Linked DNA regions of Macaca fascicularis. The protein of the gene in region 1 binds, or shares a complex with, the protein of each later gene. Links are inferred from orthologs where the notes say so. Each region holds a gene or a part of one and is shown in the gene's direction. Other genes may lie near its edges. The genes, in order: ARVCF and HNRNPH2.

The links.
Region 2: ARVCF (region 1) and HNRNPH2 share a complex: the UniProt entries of both Homo sapiens proteins name them as parts of the ribonucleoprotein complex. The link is inferred for Macaca fascicularis from reciprocal best matches to the Homo sapiens genes ARVCF and HNRNPH2.

Annotation. Positions count from the first base shown.
Region 1 is NC_088384.1:32,806,890-32,811,498, forward strand, and holds the start of ARVCF (splicing regulator ARVCF), read left to right. Parts: upstream 1-1,622; 5' UTR 1,623-1,864; intron 1,865-4,609. UniProt on the Homo sapiens protein: Contributes to the regulation of alternative splicing of pre-mRNAs.
Region 2 is NC_088395.1:108,081,185-108,085,114, forward strand, and holds the end of HNRNPH2 (heterogeneous nuclear ribonucleoprotein H2), read left to right. Parts: intron 1-1,191; 5' UTR 1,192-1,244; coding exon 1,245-2,594; 3' UTR 2,595-3,422; downstream 3,423-3,930. UniProt on the Homo sapiens protein: This protein is a component of the heterogeneous nuclear ribonucleoprotein (hnRNP) complexes which provide the substrate for the processing events that pre-mRNAs undergo before becoming functional, translatable mRNAs in the cytoplasm. Binds poly(RG).

The DNA of each region.
Region 1 (4,609 bases):
ATGGCTGGGGACAGCTGGACTCATTACGTCTACTCCTAAATGGAGGAAACGACCCCTCAGCTATACAGCACCTGAGCCAGAATGTCACCATGGTGCTGCTCCACAGGATGACAGCTACCTGGCTTGTGAGGGCCCCTATTCTAGGGACAGATATTTCATTCTGCCCTCCCAGAGCAGCAAGCAACAACCCTATGCCAGGAGGCCAATTGGCACATGAAGTGCCAGCTCCAATCGATTGATAGTAGCTGCCTGGCTCTGAAAGGTAGCTGAGATCGATTCACCATGCTGCCAGCACACAGATGGACCCAGCGGTGGCTCCAGCAGTGAGTCCTTGCCTTGGGCCATTTCATTTTCTTTGTCCTGGCCAAGGAATGATTGGGTGAACACACGGGACTCCCAATATGGGTGGAAAAGACAAGAGTGTCTGGTCACACCCCTCCACCACCCATGAGCATGGTTGTGGGCAGTTTGCTTCCCCAGGTGGCCTTGGGGAATGCAATGAGCTGAGGAACTGGTCATGTCCAGGTGCATCCAGGGCAGGAAAGGCTGACAGCATGCATGAGCCAGGGTCACTGGCCAAGAAGTCATCTCAGGACCTCCCCCTAGAAAAGCCCACTGAGCAGCATTCCTGCTGGTTCCCCCCACACCACAAGGTTACGCGGAGCTGGCGGAGAGTCATGCTCCCACTCATGTCAGGTACTCTCAATCTGGAGAGGAAATGCAACCATGCCAATCTCAACAGGCAGCGAAGCCGCGTTTCTTTCTGACTCCAGGTAAGGTGGAGAAAATGGGACAGCAGTACGGGGGCATAAACGCACAACTCCACTTCCCCAGACGGAGAGCTGTGGGGCTGTGAGGATGCCAGGAGGAGGTAATAAAGGCGGCCCCATGGGGGACCTGAAAGGTGGGACAAGCCTAAGAGGTCTCCACATCCAGGCCTGGTGGGGGAGGTGAGCCCCTGGTTTACAGAAGGGGTCCCTTCCTGCTCTCGGAAATACGGCAGCCTACCTCCACCGCCGCCCCGCTCCGGGGGCCCAGGGGCGGTGAGGGTGAGAGAGTCCCCAGGCCCCAGGGTCAGACGACTGTGTTCAAGCAAGTCAGAACCTCTCTGAGGCTGTTTCCCAACTATAAAATGGGATAGTGGCAGAACTCTCCCTCGCGGTTTGCGTGAGGAATACAATTCGATGTCGACAGGAAGGCGCGGCGTGCACCGCGCAGCGCACAGCGAGTAGCAGGCGCTGAAGAAGGATACCTGTGAACTGGGGGTGGTAATGGAGGCTACGCGGCCGGAATCCGGGGAAGGGCCGCCGGCCCTACCAGTCCCTGCTCGGGGCTGGATGGTCGGGGGATGTTCTCGTAACTCGGCTGGGAGGAAACTGCCCCGCTTACCCGGCCACTACCACCGCAGAGGTTCGGGCAGGTGCCGCGGCCTCGGCCCCTCCGCGAGGGGGCCGGTCAGCCGCCGGGACTGACATCCCGAAGGCCCAATGGAAAGCCGTCATCTCCACGCACCCGTCCAATCGGCGCCGGTTGCCGTGCCGCGCCGGGTCTCTCGACCAATGGGGAAATTTGCGGTCAGATGGGGCGGGGCGGAGTTCCGCGTCGCCGGCCCGGTCCGCTTTGCACACGGGCCGCGTGAGGGCGAGAGGGCTGGCCCGGGGTCTCGGGTTGCTTGCTGGGTCCGGAGGGAGGGGGCGGCCCCCGCACCGGCCCGACTTGCGGCCCAGTGGACGGCGACCCGCGCCGCGCCCCGCCCTGGGAACGCCGCACCCCGCGCGCCGAGGGACCCGGGGACGCCCTTCTGGGGTCTGGGGCCGCGCTGCGGAGCCGCCCACGCTGCGCAGCCACCCACGCTGCGCTCCAGGTAAGCTTGAGCCAGTGGGCGGGGTGCGGGACCTGGGGCTGGGGCAGCGGGTCTGAGCCGGGACTGGGGGCGGGGCTGCAGATCTGGGACGCGTTCCGGGCAGCGGTCCGGACTGGGTCTTGTACCCGGAGTCGAGATTAGGGCGAGGGTCTGGGCCGGGCTTCGGAGCCAATCTCCGCCCCACCCGCGTCTTGTCCGTGCGCTCTGCGGCGCCGGAGACCTCGGGCCGGGGGAGGGGGCGGGTCCCTTTGTGCGCGGTCTCCGAGCCCTACTCGACCCGGCCGGGTGCCTTGCATCGAGCTCTCCAGCTGAGCGTGGCCCGACCCCGCAGCCGTGTCCGCCCCGCGCGACGCTTGGCGCCTAGCTGCCGGGGCCCTGCGGCCACGGAAACTTTCCAACGGCCCGAGGGGCGGCAGGCCGGGAACTTTCCTGGGGCAGCGCGCCGCCGGGAAGCGCAGGGGCACCGACGGCCCGGAGGGATATCCCCGCGCCGCGCTGCTCCTGCCGCCTCGGGGGTGAGCGAGGGCACGCCACCTGGATTCCCGGCCTGGGTCTCCCTCCCCACGTCGCCCTGCGCCCCCTCGGGGCCCGTGCAGAGCATGTCTTCTACACTCTGAGGGAACCTCTGCTCGGTTTGCTGGGGAGTCGCCCTGGGCAGATGGCGTGAGATCTCCAGCCTATTTTAATTTTTAAATAATTAAATATTGGCTGCTTATAAAATTTCACCGTTTGTTAGCTATGTGTAACGTAGCATACTTAAAATGGAACCAAAGGACTTCAGCTCCCTTTCCCTACACCCAGGCATATTTAGAAATAAGGAAAATAAAGGTGCTCTGTGGGTGTTTTTTAAAGTAGGCTCTTAATGCTGCTGTCTAATAACCTCAGGTGGGTACCCACGCCGCTGTGGGGGAAGCCTCCTCTATGGTATGGGCCAGCGGGGTGCAGTGGGAGCCTCCACCTCTCCTGACCTTAGCTTCTCTGGGGTAGCTGCCTTTACTTCTTACTACTTCCTTACTACTGCCTTATCTGCCTTTGCTCTGGGATCCAGGCTGTGGTTAGAGATCTGGTCCAAACAGGGCGGGTGTTACCTGTCTTGTACTCACTGTATTGGAGTTGAGATGGTGCTGAATGCAGGGGCCAGTCAGCGCTCTCTTGCCCAGTGTGCCATGCCAGTGGCCAGTCAGTTCCTGAGCAGGTGATCCAGGCCTTAGGTCAGGCCACAGTGTGAACCACAGCGTGTCTGGGAAGGCATTTCCTCCAGTCTTGCCCCATCCTATCCACAATGTCTGCTCCCAACTGTCTCCTGACCCCACCCTACCCCCATTCTGGGGTCCACCAGGGCCCAGCAGAGAGGACTGGGCACAGAACATTCGCTAAGGGACTCAAGTCCCAGCTGAGAGGGTAGTTGAGCACAGCCAAGCCAGCCCCTGCCCAGCTCTTGGCTGAGCTGCCCTGTCAGACTTTTCTGCATAAACACAAGAACCTCCTGACCAAGGTCCCTCCTGGGAGAACAAGGTCTGACCCTCAGTCCTGCTAAATTTGAGCCTCCCCACCCACCACATCTGGGCTGCTTGGCTCCCGTGTTTGCTCTGGCACCCCTTCCAGAGGTGGCTCTGCAGTGTCCTCCCAGCCCCAGGGGCCCTCTGCATCTCTGTGGCTCTGTGAGCGTAGGGTAGCACCCCTCCTCCTGTTTGTGCTACTAGGGATTCAGGGTGAGTTCACTGTCACCCCAGGAGTCTGGCCTGGGGGAGCGTGAGGCTGTCCGGAGTGAGTACAGGAGGAGCAGGAGCAGCAGGATCCCCAGTCTCTGGGAGGAGCAGGGAGCTCTGCGCATGGATGCCAGGCACCACCCTCTGTCTAGCCCATCTGTCGTGTTCCCCACCTGGCCCTGGCAGAGGGAGTGACAGGGTTGAATTGGGATAGGGAGTCAGGGCCCACTCTGTAGATGGGGCCAGGAATGGAGGGTGGGAGTCTAGGGACAGCACTGTAGAGCACCAGGTGGGCCCTGGGGGTCCTGGGGACTTCCCTGATGGTGGCTTAGTCGTGGGGAGGTGTCTGTTCTTTTGCCACTAGCTTCAATTAAGACCAGGATGAGGCCGGTCGTGGTGGCTCACGCCTGTAATCCCAACACTTTGGGAGGCCAAGGCAGGCGGATCACCTGAGATCAAGAGTTAGATACGAGCCTGGCCAACATGGCAAAACCCTGTCTCTACTAAAAATACAAAAATTAGCCGGGCATGGTGGCATGTGCCTGTAGTCCCAGCTACTTGGGAGGCTGATGCAGAATTGCTTGAACCAGGGAGGTGAGGGTTACAGTGAGCCGAGATCACACCACTCTTCTCCAGCCTAGGTGATAGAGCGAGACTCTGTCTCAAAATAAAAACAAAAACAAAAACAAAGCAAAACCGAAAAAACCAGGATGGACTGGTCACGGTGGCTCACGCCTATAATCCCAACACTTTGGGAGGCCAAGGCAGGCAGACAGATCACATGAGGTCGGGAGTTTGAGACCAGCCTGGCCAATATGGTGAAACCCGGTTTCTACTAAAAATACAAAAAAATTAGCTGGGCCTGGTGGCACACGCCTGTAATCCCAGCTGCTGGGGAGACTGAGGCAGGAGGATTGCCTGAACCCGGGAGGCAGAGGTTGCAGTGAGCCAAGATTGTACCATCGCACTCCAGCCTGGGTGACAGGGCGAGACTTCGTCTCAAAAAAAAAAAAAAAAAAAAAAAAGCCAGAAAAGG
Region 2 (3,930 bases), on another chromosome or scaffold:
CAGTTTTTTTATGCAGTCTTAACTAAGCACTGCATAAAAGTCTTTGGGATCTGATCTATGCCTTGCCAGCCTTTTCTCTTGCTTTTCCCTCTCCTATTTGTGCTTTATCATAATTTTAAAAAATCGTTTATGGATCCCTGGGCAGGTTAGTCTGTTTCATTTAACCATTTGACCTCCAACCAATAGAACTGATCAACTAGTCCCTCCTTGATACTATGCTTATACCCCACCCAGAGGGTCATGGCAAGTATAATGTATATTTGCATTTACATCTTTAATAATGATATTTGGTGCTCCTGTAGGATCATAAGCCCTTTCTGGGCTTATTGATTCTTGTATGCCAGAGCTGAGTATTGGACATGGCAACTAAAAAATATTTCTAAAATGAATGTGTGAATTCCCAATAATGTCTTTTTTTCATTTATCTCTGAAGCCCAAATATTTCCCTGATTTTATTGATTTGCATACATTTGTATATAAGGAGATTATATAAAGAACGTATATAACCTGTGTTTTGTTTGTATTTTAATGTTTTGTTTAATCTTTTGATCTAGTGAAGTTTTTTATGTGTGTATATTCAGATATAGCCATCTTTTATTTGTTGACCTATCCCACTGATTTGTTGATGTTATTTTATTTATTTATTTATTTTTTGAGACTTAGTTTCGCTCTGGTGGCCCATGCTGGAGTGCAGTGGCGTGATCTTGGCTCACCTCCACCTCCTGGGTACATAAAAGTGGTTTTCCTGCCTCAGCCTCCCGAGTAGCTGGGATTACAGGCGCCTGCCACCACGCCCAGCCAATTTTTTGTATTTTTAGTAGAGACAGGGTTTCACCATGTTGGCCAGGCTGGTCTCTGACCTCTAGGTGGTACACCCGCCTGACCTCAGGTGGTACTACTGACCTCAGGTGGTACACCCGCCTCAGCCTCCCAAAGTGCTGGGATTACAGGCGTGAGCCACCACACCCGGCCGATTGCTATTAATTTTTAATGGTATCCAACATGTAATAGGCATTGAATAAATAACTTAAAAAATGAATGAGTTAAAAATTTGGTGAACTCTTTGTTTATACAGACATCTTACAGAAAAGCTGTCAGCATAGTTGAATTTTCTATTAATAGTTTGCTTTTTTATCTTACTATATCACGGGCATTTTTCCATGACAGTAGTCTTCTAATTTTTTTTTTCAGCTACACTAAAATTGCATTGAGCCAAACTTGCCACCAAGAGCCCAACAGTCACCATGATGCTGAGCACGGAAGGCAGGGAGGGGTTCGTGGTGAAGGTCAGGGGCCTACCCTGGTCCTGCTCAGCCGATGAAGTGATGCGCTTCTTCTCTGATTGCAAGATCCAAAATGGCACATCAGGTATTCGTTTCATCTACACCAGAGAAGGCAGACCAAGTGGTGAAGCATTTGTTGAACTTGAATCTGAAGAGGAAGTGAAATTGGCTTTGAAGAAGGACAGAGAAACCATGGGACACAGATACGTTGAAGTATTCAAGTCTAACAGTGTTGAAATGGATTGGGTGTTGAAGCATACAGGTCCGAATAGCCCTGATACTGCCAACGATGGCTTCGTCCGGCTTAGAGGACTCCCATTTGGCTGTAGCAAGGAAGAGATTGTTCAGTTCTTTTCAGGGTTGGAAATTGTGCCAAATGGGATGACACTGCCAGTGGACTTTCAGGGGCGAAGCACAGGGGAAGCCTTTGTGCAGTTTGCTTCGCAGGAGATAGCTGAGAAGGCCTTAAAGAAACACAAGGAAAGAATAGGGCACAGGTACATTGAGATCTTCAAGAGTAGCCGAGCTGAAGTTCGAACCCACTATGATCCCCCTCGAAAGCTCATGGCTATGCAGCGGCCAGGTCCCTATGATAGGCCGGGGGCTGGCAGAGGGTATAATAGCATTGGCAGAGGAGCTGGGTTTGAAAGGATGAGGCGTGGTGCCTACGGTGGAGGGTATGGAGGCTATGATGACTATGGTGGCTATAATGATGGATATGGCTTTGGGTCTGATAGATTTGGAAGAGACCTCAATTACTGTTTTTCAGGAATGTCTGATCATAGATATGGAGATGGTGGGTCCAGTTTCCAGAGCACCACAGGGCACTGTGTACACATGAGGGGGTTACCTTACAGAGCCACTGAGAATGATATTTATAATTTCTTCTCACCTCTTAATCCCATGAGAGTACATATTGAAATTGGACCCGATGGCAGAGTTACTGGTGAGGCAGATGTTGAATTTGCTACTCATGAAGATGCTGTGGCAGCTATGGCAAAAGACAAAGCTAATATGCAACATAGATATGTGGAGCTCTTCTTAAATTCTACTGCAGGAACAAGTGGGGGTGCTTACGATCACAGCTATGTAGAACTTTTTTTGAATTCTACAGCAGGGGCAAGTGGTGGGGCTTATGGTAGCCAAATGATGGGAGGGATGGGCTTATCCAACCAGTCTAGTTATGGAGGTCCTGCTAGCCAGCAGCTGAGTGGTGGTTATGGAGGTGGTTATGGTGGTCAGAGCAGTATGAGTGGATATGACCAAGTTCTGCAGGAAAATTCCAGTGACTATCAGTCAAACCTTGCTTAGGTAGAGAAGGAGCACCAAACAGCTACTCCATATATAAAAGCTGTACATTTGTGGGAGTTGAATAGAATGGGAGGGATGTCTAGTATATCCAGTATGATTGGTAAATGGGAAATATAATTGATTCTGATCACTCTTGGTCAGCTTCTCTTTCTTTATCTTTCTTTCTCCTTTTTTAAGAAAACAAGAGTTAAGTTTAACAGTTTTGCATTACAGGCTTGTGATTCATGCTTACTGTAAAGTGGAAGTTGAGATTATTTTAAAACTTCAAGCTCAGTAATTTTGAACACTGAAACATTCATCTAGGACATAATAACAAAGTTCAGTATTGACCATAACTGTTAAAACAATTTTTAGCTTTCCTCAAGTTAGTTATGTTGTAGGAGTGTACCTAAGCAGTAAGCGTATTTAGGTTAATGCAGTTTCACTTATGTTAAATGTTGCTCTTATACCACAAATACATTGAAAACTTCGGATGCATGTTGAGAAACATGCTTTTCTGTAAAACTCAAATATAGGAGCTGTGTCTACGATTCAAAGTGAAAACATTTGGCATGTTTGTTAATTCTAGCTTTTTGGTTTAATATCCTGTAAGGCACGTGAGTGTACACTTTTTTTTTTTTTTTTTTTTTTTTTTTTTTTTTTTTTTTTTTTTAAGGATACGGGACAATTTTAAGATGTAATACCAATACTTTAGAAGTTTGGTCGTGTTGTTTGTATGAAATTCTGAGGCTTTGGTTTAAATCTTTCCTTGTATTGTGATTTCCATTTAGATGTATTGTACTAAGTGAAACTTGTTAAATAAATCTTCCTTTTAAAAACTGGAAAAAATCTTGTGCTGATTGATTTTTATTATGTTCTGTCATATGGGCACGCTGATTGACTTTATAATTCCCTCAAAATTAAAATTTTTAATTTTAAAATTATAAACAATATATTTAGCATCTTTATATGTTCATTGTTGCATATATTATTAATTATTTCTAAGATATATCCCTAGAAATGGGATTGCTGAGTCAAAGATATACTCATTTTTAAGGCTTCTGATTTGTGTTACCAGCAAGATTCTGGTACTTTATCTTTTTACCTGGAGTGTGTGCTTTATTTTCCCCCTTATGCCCTCCTTATTGATGCACATTATTCTTTGTGATCTTTGCCAGTCTGTTAGTTGAGAAATGATATCTCATTGCAATTTTAATTTGTATTTTTTTGATTAATATTAAAGTTGAACATTTTCTTCTTTTTTAAAAAAACTTACCATGTCTACAGGACTATTGAGCTACTTTTGGAGCCACTTACCAAGATAGTATTCTCTAAAATCCAAAGAAGTGAAAGCGAA